Oryctolagus cuniculus: one gene and its partners. The protein of the gene in region 3 purifies or fractionates together with the protein of the main gene of each other region. This does not show direct contact. Links are inferred from orthologs where the notes say so. Each region holds a gene or a part of one and is shown on either strand. Other genes may lie near its edges.

Evidence for each region.
Region 1: the proteins of WDR62 (region 3) and CEP170 purify together in Homo sapiens (affinity purification with mass spectrometry; 3 studies listed by BioGRID and IntAct, with this or other methods). This does not show direct contact. The link is inferred for Oryctolagus cuniculus from reciprocal best matches to the Homo sapiens genes WDR62 and CEP170.
Region 2: the proteins of WDR62 (region 3) and MAPK8 purify together in Homo sapiens (affinity purification with mass spectrometry; 5 studies listed by BioGRID and IntAct, counting the BioPlex papers as one, with this or other methods). This does not show direct contact. The link is inferred for Oryctolagus cuniculus from reciprocal best matches to the Homo sapiens genes WDR62 and MAPK8.

Annotation. Positions count from the first base shown.
Region 1 is NC_091444.1:63,281,677-63,285,930, reverse strand, and holds the start of CEP170 (centrosomal protein of 170 kDa), read left to right. Parts: upstream 1-1,403; 5' UTR 1,404-1,544; intron 1,545-2,092; exon of another isoform or gene 2,093-2,416; intron 2,417-4,254. Other genes in the region: SDCCAG8 (serologically defined colon cancer antigen 8), read right to left, coding at 354-594.
Region 2 is NC_091446.1:81,312,026-81,316,146, reverse strand, and holds the start of MAPK8 (mitogen-activated protein kinase 8), read right to left. Parts: upstream 2,820-4,121; 5' UTR 2,619-2,819; intron 1-2,618. UniProt on the Homo sapiens protein: Serine/threonine-protein kinase involved in various processes such as cell proliferation, differentiation, migration, transformation and programmed cell death.
Region 3 is NC_091449.1:19,661,695-19,665,310, reverse strand, and holds part of WDR62 (WD repeat-containing protein 62), read right to left. Parts: coding exon 3,524-3,616; intron 1,834-3,523; coding exon 1,766-1,833; intron 1,690-1,765; coding exon 1,568-1,689; intron 858-1,567; coding exon 782-857; intron 94-781; coding exon 1-93. UniProt on the Homo sapiens protein: Required for cerebral cortical development. Plays a role in neuronal proliferation and migration.

The DNA of each region.
Region 1 (4,254 bases), on a different chromosome or scaffold from region 3:
CCTATCTGAGAGACCCAGAACAAGCTCCTGGCTCTGGCTTCGTATTGGCACAGGCTGTTGCGGCCAATTGGGGAGGGAACGACCGGATGGAAGACCTCTGCCTCTCCTCTCTCTGTGTAATTCTGACTTTCAAATAAATAATCTTTAAAAAAAAAAAAAAAAGACAACAACTCTGCTTAATCATAAAAACAGCAGCAAACTAGTTCATCCTCGTCAAAGACCAGTAACATCCATCTTCTTCCTCTGCAGCCTGGCTGGGCTGAACCGAGGTGTCCGTTAAGGCACCTGGTCTGCTCCCGCCTAGTAGGCCCTGGATACCTAGGGCCTAGGCACAGAGGTTCGGAGCAACTCACCCCGGAGACTCCGTTGATACTTCCCCAGAATCTCCTCCAGGGAAGAGTTCCCTGGGGACTTCGCCATGCACAGACTCTGGGCCAAGAGATGCGAGTTACGTGGGTTATCGTCCAGTGTTCTCCCTTCCAACAACAGCCCTAGCGCCCGCCCGCCTCCTGCCGCAACTGTCACTGGGGAGCCTGGAACCACGGACGCAGCTCGTGGGGTCTCTTCCCACCCTCGAGCCCTCGTGATGGACATTGGGAGTTGTAGTTCTAAGGCTCTGGCTCTACAGCCTCGAGAATCCTAAGAACCTTCCAGCTGCACTACATTTCCCAGAGGGCACTGCGCTCCTGGCGTTGGCTTCGGCGGTTTGGCTACCACAGATCGTTGCCACGAGACCGGCTTGCGGGCTCCTCCCTTTTCCTCTAAGCCAGCCTGGCTAGTCCCGCCTTCACCCTGTCCTGCAGCAGTCCGGACCACCCGGCTGACAGAAAGGACTTTCTGAAGGCCCGGACGCTTCGATCTTTACTAATATGCAATTGATCCTTCAGGCTTCTCTGGGAAGCGAATAATCTCTGAACCCTCCTTCGGTCGCGACATTTGTCAAAACGGTCCAATTCTTAAGAAATAAGAAACTCTAACTCTCCCAAACAGCCTGGCTTGTAAAGGCGGCCAACACTACAACTCCTAGCATGCCAAGCAACCCGACCTCCTCTTGCAGTTGGCGCACTGCCCGCCGGGAATTGTAGTCCTCGTTGGTTGCAGGTCCCCGCTAGAGCCAGAGTTCTCTTCATTGTTCAGGCCGGTCTTTGGGGACACGCCTGCGCAGTGGGCAGCAGGCAAGGCGTGTGAGACCCTCCGCACAACCCCCTTTCATTGTCTGTGTCTGGCGCCTGCGCAGTAAGAGATCGCTGGGACTGGGCTGGAGGAGTGGATAGGGCCCAGCACCTCGCCCTTTCCCCAGGCGCCTGCGCAGTCAGCGACCGCTCTTTGCCGTTACCGCTATGTGTGGGGCGTGTGTGGAATAACGTTATTGCCCTGCGGAACCGAGGGGCCGGGAGCTCGACCGCAGCTGCAGCGACGAAGGCAGCAGCGGCGGAGACGACGACGACGACGACGGGGTGGGGGAGAGGACGGCGTGCGAGAGACTCACGGGACGCGACGCGCCCCGCCTCCCCCGTCCGGTCCCTCTCTCTTCACGGTGAGGGGTAAGTGATGCGCTCCGCTGCCTCGGGGTGGACGCCGCCGCCGCCTCTGCTTTTCCACAGCCTGCTCGGATTTGCGCCGGGGGCTCGGGGCGCGGCCCCTGGCGTGGCGGGGGTGCAGGGAGAGCCTTCCCGGATGCTCCGCGCGGCGTTACCACCCCCATCGCCCAGGACCTGGGGCTCGGCGGGGCCGCTCCTCCCATCCCCCCATCCTTGATGGCCTCCGGTCCTCGCTCCCCACCCTCCGCCGTCGTCTGGGTCCTCCCGGGCCCGTGGCCGCGGTCTCCGCCTCCCCTAAGTGTACTGAATCGCTTGCAGCTCCCTCCCGGCTTTGTGCAACCCTCCCCCATCGTTGGAGCAGTTTGCGAGGGGTGCGGGCGGAGCATCGGAAGGAATGGCTGCGCTGCCGCTGGGGAAGGGATTTTTTTTTTTCCCCAGTGGGAGCAGCTCCCAGGGCCGAGTCTTTTTGTGTGGTTGGATTTTGGGGTATGAGGCAGTCGGGGGAGGTCAGGCGAGGGCCCTTTGCACGCGTTGGGAGGGCGTGGAAGACGCGGTGTCACGCACCCTGCCAGGCGACTGCACCCGGGGTACATCTCTAGCTGGCTGGATTGTGAACCCCGGGGAAGGGAGAGCGACTTCCTGTCGGCTTCATTGTCCTAAGATTCAAATACAGCGTTTTGGGTCCGCTTCCCTTCCATTTTCTGCGAGGGGGAGAAATACTAGCAGTGTCTTAACACCGGGCGGGAAGACGTGGGATTCGTCTCCCCAGTCGCAGCATCTCTGTTTTGTGGCGTTCGGTAGAGTTTTGATTTATTTTGTCGAAGAATGTGGGGGAAGACACGGACCGTGCTTGCCAGAGTGCACGCACTGTCAAGGTGATCAATGTAAAATTACTAGATGACGTTGAAGGCTGGGCGAGAAGGGGCCTGACAGCCGAGCGGGTGTGTAGCAGGGAAATGAACCAGGAGAATTGTTTTTTTTTTCCACTGGGTGGGTAACGCATGCATGGGTCCTAAGGGAATAGATGAAGCTACGTCTTTCCCTTTTATGTTTTAAAGCAATCCAAACAAAAATAAGGATTGGTGTATTTGTTTCTGAAGCTGTTTGCTCATTTTTATTCTCTTCATGAAAATTCAGCCGTTTGGGAGGAATTTGGTGAAGTGGATGATCCATGCGATTGAAAATGCGTCTTTTAAAATGATTTGCTTGTTAGGATTGTAATGCTTGTAACCATTTGCTGGCGTCTCTGTGTAAAATAAGCCCAAGAAAGAATGAAGTAGGCTGGGGGAGAAGATGGAGGAGTAGTGTGAGTTATATTATAAATACAGTTTCTAGATCTTTACTGATACAACCCTAATTGGGTAAACTTCAAAGCCAGGAAGAAATTCAGCTATCAAATTGTTTTGTAGTTTTCTGCCATTATTTTTTTGAAAAGTGAAAACCAGCACTGTTCTTAGTTCTTCCTAACTTCATAGATACTGTAGAATTTTGCTTTTTTTTTTTTTTAAACGGAACAGTCGCTTGAAAAAAACTAAAACTCACTGATTTGTCTGCCCAAGCCAATGTGCTAACAGAAAGCACAGTCAAATAAAACCAAGGTCTGTTCTACAGAGTGATCTTTACTGTGTGCCCTCACCTTCCACCCTGTGAACATTTATGGAAAGCTTCTGTACTTTTTAATTTGTGTGTAACAGTAAACTTAATTCTCTCACTTGTATTAATCTAGTCCTTCTTTTTGTGATGTAGAAGTAGTAATTCTACTGAAACTGAATTTTAGCTTTACAAAGTAACTTACTAATAAGGGAAGATACCCTAACAGTTCTTTTCATGAAAACAAACTGTTGGAATGTTTTCACTTCTACTTATTAGTAACCATATTTTAATATTATTTCTTGAAATTTAATAGTATTTTATAATATTATGTTCAACTGTGAACTGTTAAAAATAATATTTCTCCATACTAAAAAGCTATGAAGCTTATTTTTCTATGATTAATGAATTTTATTGTTTTCAACTTAGAGTTTCCCTTTGAGAAATGTCATCTTTCTGTTTTTAATTGGGTCGACTTTATAAAAAAAAAGGGGGTTTTATTTATGTCAACTCATAATTTCAGTTCTTTAATTCTGCATTGCATTTTAATAGATATTTTCTTTAGAATTTATTTCACTTTAATTTCAATTTAAGAAGCCTCTGTCATTAAGTTCAGTATGGGGAATCATATTGAAACTTTAAATGCATTTTGCTGGTAAATTTCATGGTGTTCCAAAATTATTTTGTATGGAAATAATCTGCATGTTTCCTGTCCTATTTATCTGTAAACATAAGCATACACTGTGTGTGTGTGCGTGTGTGTGTGTATGTATGTATGTATGTATGTATTAAGGTGCTTTTTGAAACTCTGTACTTGGTGATTTGTTTCATTTGTTCTAAGCATCAGTTTCATGTTCCTTTTACCTACCGGAAAAAAGTTTTATTGTTATATTTGATAATAATTAATGTTCATTACCAAATACTGTATGTATTTAAGGTTTTGTGAACATGTTTTTTATTCAACAGAAATCTGTTCCTGAAAAATACTTCATACTATTTTAATCAATATGTAATGATTTTTTCTTCTGTATCTTAAACATCTTGGGGTTAAATAGTGTGCTAGTGTAGTAAATATCCAACCGAAACTGTGATGTTTCATTACCAACTAAAATGTCTTTCCAGT
Region 2 (4,121 bases), on a different chromosome or scaffold from region 3:
CCGTAATATAAAGTAAGGGTATACTGAAGATTCTAGGTGAATTAATTTTGATACAATTTACTCTTCCTCTGAGTCCTTTTCCAATGTGAAGAGGTATGAAGGACAGTTTCCTGTTCCTCCAGGACACTCAAAGGTGCCCTTTGCAAAGTCATTAAAGGCATGGATTTAGTTAACAGAAGCAGCGCCATCTCTCCCTTTAAAACATTTTTCAAATGCTGAGTGATTGCTAATAGGCATGGGGTTTCTTCCCTGGCTGATGACAATACTCTGGAATTTAAAAGCAGTGATCAATATATAACTTTGTGAACATACTAAAAAAACACTGAAATGGAACACTCTAAAAGGATGAATTTTATGATATGTGAATTAAATGTAAAGAATGCTATTAAAAAAAAATTTAGGGAAAAAAAAGCAGCCACAACTCTAGTTCTTTAAATTGCCTGACCAAAGGGTTTTTATCAGTAAGCCCTACTGGATCCTGACATCTGACTAACTTGGTAAAGCAATTAAAATTTGGTATCTCAAGATTATCATTCCGTATTTTAATAAAGTATCACTTTATTATTTCTTCATTTCTACTAGACATCAAACAGTAAGTTCACCTCAACTTCTTTCATATCAAAACAAATGTGAAAATGTACTTAGCAGTGAGTGGGAAACAGCTATAACTTGAATAATTAGGTATTATTTTGAGTTTTAGTCCCACATGCGTCATGAAGTGTTAATATAAGGAGTTAAACATTTCCAATTAATGCTTCTAAAATCCTATTAGAAGTTACATATTTCTAATAAAACATTTACACAGTCTATATCCTTTTTTCTAGCTTTTCTACTGAAAGAAGTAGTCAAAAACCTCTCAATACTTACAAGAAGATAAACGCAATCATTTCAGCCTCCTACTAAAATACCACTCTGTGTGTGTGTACACGTACACGACACGCCTTGGCCCCTACAATCCAACTTACTTTATGAATCACCAGAAAACACTTAGACAAGGTTTTATTTTAGGATAGTGGATGGCCTAGAAGTGACGGGGGGTGGGGGGGGATGGGGGGGAATGACACCAAAGTGACTCAAAAGCCCATAACCCATCTCCTATTATATGAAACCGATCGTTTGGCTATGTGGAAGAGAATCGCAGGAACCTTCCGCAAACCATATGAACGTTAATAAAAGTTGTATTGAGCACTTACTATTTCCCCGGCTAGAAAAAGAGAAACAGATGGAAGACAGGCCTGCTCTCCAGGAAGTCCCAGGCTTTAGTCAGACTCAGCACCACAGCCTCGGACCTCCTGGGTTTCACGTTAACCGCGGCGGCCGGGTCTGAGGTAGCCATCCCAAATGACCACAGGGCTCGAAGACTGGGCAAAAAAAATAAAAAATTTTTTGAAAGTAAAAACTATTGTGGATTTAGATCAAAGATAACTATCTCCTCGTATAACATTTTACTTGAACTTCCAGAGATTCTGTTAAAAACTAGTAAAATGACCCAGCGCACAACTCTACCTCCACACACGCATCGCTTATATAACCATCTCATTTAAAGGCACATCTGCTACACTGCAACCAAGGCTTCCTCCTCCACTGAGGGCCGTCTTCCCTTTACATGCAAACCTCTCCCCTGTGGGCGCAGTAGGGAGCAGCTGCCGAATGAATGAATGAATGAATGAATGGAACACACGCGCGCGCGCACACACACACACACACACACACACGGATGTTCTCGCTTCAAGCAGGCACTGGATGCTTAGCTGACAGACCAGAATTCCACCGGAAAGACCACCGCATCTACAAACAGCGACCACCGGACATTGTCTCCTACCGCGCGGTCAACACGGCGATCCACGCACAGTACAGACGCGAGGGGGAACTTGAAGACGCCACAGTGTCCAAGGCGGCCTCGCTTCCACCACCCGCCGGGGGTCGGGAACGCCAGCGCAGACAAAGCGACGGCACGGTGGGGAGAAGCAGCCCAGAGGTCACCACCGAAGTGACCCGCAGCGGGGACACGCGCGCTGGCCACGCAGGCTCGGGGCCGGGATCGAGGGGCACCCTCCACGCACGGGCCGCGGGGCCTGGCCTCCCCCAGGCCGCCTTCGACTAGGAAGCCCGCGCACAAAGGAACCTCGCCGAGCGACACGCGCACACACACACGGTCCCCGTGGGCGCCGGGGCGGGCGCGCGGACCCTGTCGCCAGCGCGCCGGCCCCCGGCGCCGGGGAGTCGGCTGCGCGCCGCGGGCCGCCCGGGCCCCCTTCGCCCAAGTGCTTCCCAAGTTGCCGCCCACCCCCATCTTCTCCTCCCGACGCGCAAGCGGGACCCCCGCGAGGAGGGCGTGCAACGACAGCGACGCGCGCGCGCGGGCCGGGCCGGGCCGGGCCGGGCCGAGCCGACCCGGGGCGCCGAGCCGGGGCGCGCGTCCGGCGCCCGCGGCCCCACGCCCCCCGCGGCCGCCCCCGCCTCCGGGGCCGCTATTGTTCCCGCGCCGCCCCCGCCCGCCGCGCGCGCCCGCCCCCACGCCCGGGGAGGGGTTCACGGCTGAGGAGAAGGCGGCGGCGGCCGCACAATAACATAAACACGGCGGGGCCGCCGGCAGCCGCGGCGCCCGCCACACTCACCCGGCAGCGCGGCGAACAGCGACGGGGAAGCCCGCCGGCGGGCACGGGCGCCGTCCGGGCGGTCGCCGCGGCCGTTACCCAGCGCAGCTCGCGGCTCCGCGCTCCAGGCTGCGTCGTCCGGCCTCGGCCGCTCCGCTGAGTAACAGGGACGCGCGGGCCGTCACCGCGCACGCCCGCCCACGTCATCGCGCAGAGCCCCGCCCCCCGCGCCTCCGAGCGGCCCGCGGGGCGGGGCGCCCCGGGGCCCGGATTGCGGGGGCGGGGCCGCGGCCCGGGGGCGGGGCTACCCGCCGCGGAGGTCGCCAGGAGGAGGAGCCCCCGGAGCGCCGCCCGACAGCCGCGTGCGAGGGGCGTGGCCGCGGGCCGGTGCGGGCGGGGTCCCGGTGGCGGCACGTGGCGGCGCGTGGCCCGGGCGGGTGGCGGCTGCCCCGCGGCGGTCCGCTGATGCGCGCCTGCACCTGCAGGGCTCCTCGCCCCGGGCGTGGAAGGTCATACCAACCCGGCGAGCAGGTGCACCCACTTGGGCGCACACCTGGGAGACCGGAGCCGGTTACCGTGACCGACTGGACTCTGCATACTGAGGACACCCGCCTGGGGCCCGGCGTCCGGAGGCAAATCCAAGGCCTTTATTAGCCTCCTGTTTGTTTTCTGAAAACGCACCTAGTCCGGATTCCTTGCATTGCCGGGTTTACAGCTGAAGCTCCTCAGAGAAATTGACAGGTCCTTAAAGACCCAACAACAGGAGGAAGGCACCTGCGTTACTGTCAGGCGTGCTATAGAGCACGTTTTAGGAATGTGTTCGAGGAAGTGTTACCAAATTGGGAAAGACAAAGAAGCAACAAGGACACCCACATACACGGAGTGATCCGTGTCAGTACTGCCTAGTACCTAGGGGGAAAAAACTGGAAAGAAATGTGCCAGGGGCCGGCGCGGTGGCTTAGGCGGTAAAGCTGCTGCCTGCGATGCGGGCATCCCATATGAGCTCCTGTCCGAGTCCTGGCTGCTCCACTTCGCATCCAGCTCCCTGCTAATGGCCTGGGAAAGCAGCAGAGGATGGCCCAAGTGCTTGGGCCCCTGCATGCACATGGGAGACCCAGAAGAAGCTCCGGATCCCTAGGTCCGGACTGGCACAGCTCCACCTCCAGCCATTGCGACCATCTGGGGAGTGAACCAGCAGATGGATCTCTCTCTCTCTCCCTGTAACTCTGCCTTTCAAATAAATAAGTAAATTTTTTAAAAAGAGAAATGTGCCAGATTATTTTAACATCTGTTCATCATTAGACAGAGTGAAGGGTGATTTGGGTCTTTGTTATACTGTGGGTATAACAAACCCCACGCCTAGTACAGCCATACTGGCCCTGCTGAAGGTCTTTCTTTCTGACAGGTTCTGCAGTGGGGGTGGGGGTGGTTGGGGGGAGTGGCATAGTCAGAATGACATCTTTTTTTATTTTTTATTTTTGACAGGCAAAGTTATAGACAGTGAGAGAGACAGAGAGAAAGGTC
Region 3 (3,616 bases):
GGCAACACACTCGCCCGAGTAAAAGTCGATCACTGAGATGCTTTTGTCAGAGCAGCTTGTGGCCAGGAAGGTGCCTGAGGGGTCCACATGGACCTGCCGGGAAGAGGACCCAAGTGTCACTCAGCCCCTCGGCTTCTTCCTATTGTGAGGCCTGGGCCAGACAGCCCAGCACCCCAGAGGGGGAGGCCCAGCCCTTTGCAGGACCCCCAGCGCAGGAAATCGTGCCAGGAGTCCTCACGATGCACCCAGGCAGGGGAGGGGGCTCCTGCTCCCCACTACCACAGCATGACGGTAGCAGGGTCCCGTGCTAAGCACTGCACCTGGCCGAACTTGACCCCTTCACAGAACTGCCTAGGACAGGAGCGGTTTCTATCTGCTGTTTACAGGCAATGAAACAGGCGCCAGAGTTGACACTTGAACAGGATCACACGCAGAGTGAGGCAGAGCGGGGGCTGAGCTTGGAGCCTGAACTCGGTATTACCAACTCAGTAGGCCAGAGGCTCTGAGGCCTCCACCTTGTGTCCAGCAGGGCCAGGCCCGGAGATGAGTCCATGCCTCTCAGGTTCTTCCTCCAACTCTGTTGCCACTCAAAACAGAACCCACCCAAACGCCCCTGCCTGAGGCAGGGCTCAGTAAATAGAGGGACCACAGTCAGGGCCCCCCACGCCCCATCCCCAGCTTCCTCGGCTAACCAGGCCCAAGTGGACACTGGCAGCCTGCGATCATTTAAGCACTAAGGACACAGGGCAGGCGGCCCAGGATGGGAGTTCCCACCCCTCACCTTCAGCAGGGATCCTTCATCACCCTGGGAGCCCTTGTAGCACTTCTTCTGCTTCCCGTTCACGGTGTTGTAGACCCTGGTGGGGAGGGGGCACGATGCAGCCAACAGGGCCCTGCCCGCCCGTGCCCTCCTACCAGCTGGTCCTGGTTCCTCTGCCCTGGAATCCTGTTATCTCCTGCCCCCATCCGGGGCCTGGACAGAAGCCCTGTCTCAGGGACTGAGACCCAGCTCTGTGAGGTGAGGGAGCTTCTGTAGTGGGAGATGCACTGAGTGAACGCCTGCCTCCCTCTTGTGCCCAGTTTGAACAAGCCATGAAGCAGCAGAGAGCCCTGCATGCCTCTGCCCTCTGCCGCTTGGCCTTCCCCAGCTCGCTCCTCCACATCCCCTGGGCTCAACTACATGTCTCTCCCTCCAGAGGTCAGGGAGCTCCCCAGAGCCCTGGGACCCAGCCCTGATCACCCTGTGTTGTCACTCTCTGGACCATAAGCTCCATGAAGGAAGGCCGGGGACTATCCTGGCTATAGCTGTGACCCCAACACCGCACTGCCCAGAGAGGACTTAGGGAATGCACATGACTGAGTCACCCCACACGGGTCCCAGGAGACCAGAAGGGAACCCTCTGTGGATGTGGGAGCAAGGCCTGGGAGGGCTCAGCTTCTAAGAAACACGTGCTGGGTCCCTGCGCCCCTCCCAGCTTCTCCGGGGTCAGATGAGCAAGGGGAGGAAAGCAGACAGCCCAGGAGAAGCCCGGCTAGGTCCAGCTAAGGGCGCAGGGCAGTTCCTCACCTCACGTTGCGGTCCTGGCAGGCCACGGCCACGTACTTCTGGGTGATGTCAATGTCCATGTCATATAAGGTGGTTTTCTCTGCCACATGGTGGGTACGGACAAAGTGGAGCCCATCTGAGGCCTGGCGGGTAGGCAGGACTAAAGTGAGGACACCCAACACGCCCCCCGGCCCCCACCCTCGAGGACACGGCACCTACCTGCTGGGCACTGCGGAAGTAGATGCTCTTGTCGGCCCCACAGCTGATCATCTGGATGTCTCTGTGGCCTGGGGGAAGAGGAGGCAATGCCTCTGACATGGGAGCTGCACAGGCTGGGGGCCCTAGCTAGGGAACTCTGCTGCAAGGGCCATCAACCCGCAGGGCAGGCCTCTGCAGAACAAGATCAGAGAGGGACCCAAAGCTCGTGACACAGAGGGACACCATCTCTAGCGTGGCATTCAGACAGGGGACTCTAGCAGCAGAGGGGCGGTAAGACAGGCGGGAGGCCCACATCATCGAGAAGATCCCCACCAACTTCAGATCAGGCCCCGGGCGCCAGCCTGACCTTCCACCCTGTATACAGATCAACATGGGACAGAGTCCTGTCCTGGGGCCCACAGAGAGCCAGGACAAGCTCCGCTCTGGACCAGGCATTCTTCGCTGCCAGAGTCAAAGCCTTGACCACTGTGCTCGGAACCGGGCTTCTCTTGAGCCTCAGCTCTCTGCCTACGCTCGGCCTAATCACAGCCCTGCCCCCGAGAGCTGCACGAAGCCCTGGGGGTAGGGGCCACCATGGGGCAGACAACACAACCTCCTATTGCTCTATAGCTCTCGTTTCTTTACAGAATAAGAGTTGTGGTGGGGACGAGAACAAGAACACGAAGGAGTCTTGGTACAGCAGAAGCTGCCTTCAGCACAGCACATCCGAAAGAAGCCGGCCTGTCACACAGGAGTCGCTGGCACTCACAAGGACGTGAGCCCTGTGTCGGGGAGGCAGCATGACTTGGGAGTGACCCAGGGAGTGCCTGCACCCCATGGGTGATGTTCTGCTTAATCTGCAGTGGGTGCAGCCAATATTTAACAACATTCAAACCACAGGCAATCAGAACTGTCCCTGGCTATACACGGTGGGCGCACCTGTCCCAGTCCAGAGCTCCTGATGATGAACTTGGATGTGAACTTTCACTGTGATCCTCCGTAAATTATGCACAGATTCTGTGCTCACTTATTTCTATGGAAAGGTTGAGTGACTGAATTCCTTAGCAGGGCAGCTTCAACCAGGCTGGGACTGGCAGCACCTGGTTTCTACTGGGGAAGCCAGCTCAGCCACAGATGGACACCCAGAAGTCGGGTTTAGCTCTGCATTCTTCCAGACTGGCCAGAGGCCACTCCAGAGAGGGGCCCACAGCCCTAGGCAAGTCCCTAGGCTCCTCACCTGCTCGCGTGCGGCTGTGGCCGGAAAATGGGGCACAAAGGAAAAAACCAGGAAGAATCCGTATCTAGTCACAGAAATAGCCCCCCGCAATCCTTGTGATCACCTGTTCTCCCGCCAAGGTTACCAATGCCTATCCTATCTTCTCACAGGCTCAGCACCCCAGTCCCCTTCTGGGGACTGCCAGTCCCCTGGGTCAGGAGGTGGAAGTAGGTGGGGACAGGGGACACATGGGTCAGCTGTGGCCCAAGACAGGTCCCAAGGCCCTGGCACCAGTAACTGCTTCTGGGAAGGGCAGGTTCCTCAAGTTGGAAGAGAGGAAATTATCTTTCCAGGGGCACAAGATCCTGCTCCCAAAGACATAGCTCAGAGACAGAGACCTGATAATTAAAATATTTTTTTTCCTCCTTTGGATTCAGCTAGACGTGGGAACCCAGAGCTTTCTTCTCTCCCTTCTGTTCCATCTAATTCTAGTGGGAATTTTTGCTGTTGCAAGCAAAGGAACCCATGTAACAAAGCGCAGGGACAGGCAGGAAGGGGCTCACCAGCAAACTTAATGGCCGTGATGGAGGAGGAGTGGTCATCCAGGGTCTGCTCCAGGTTGTAGTTCTTCTCCACGTTCAGCACGTGGATCAGGC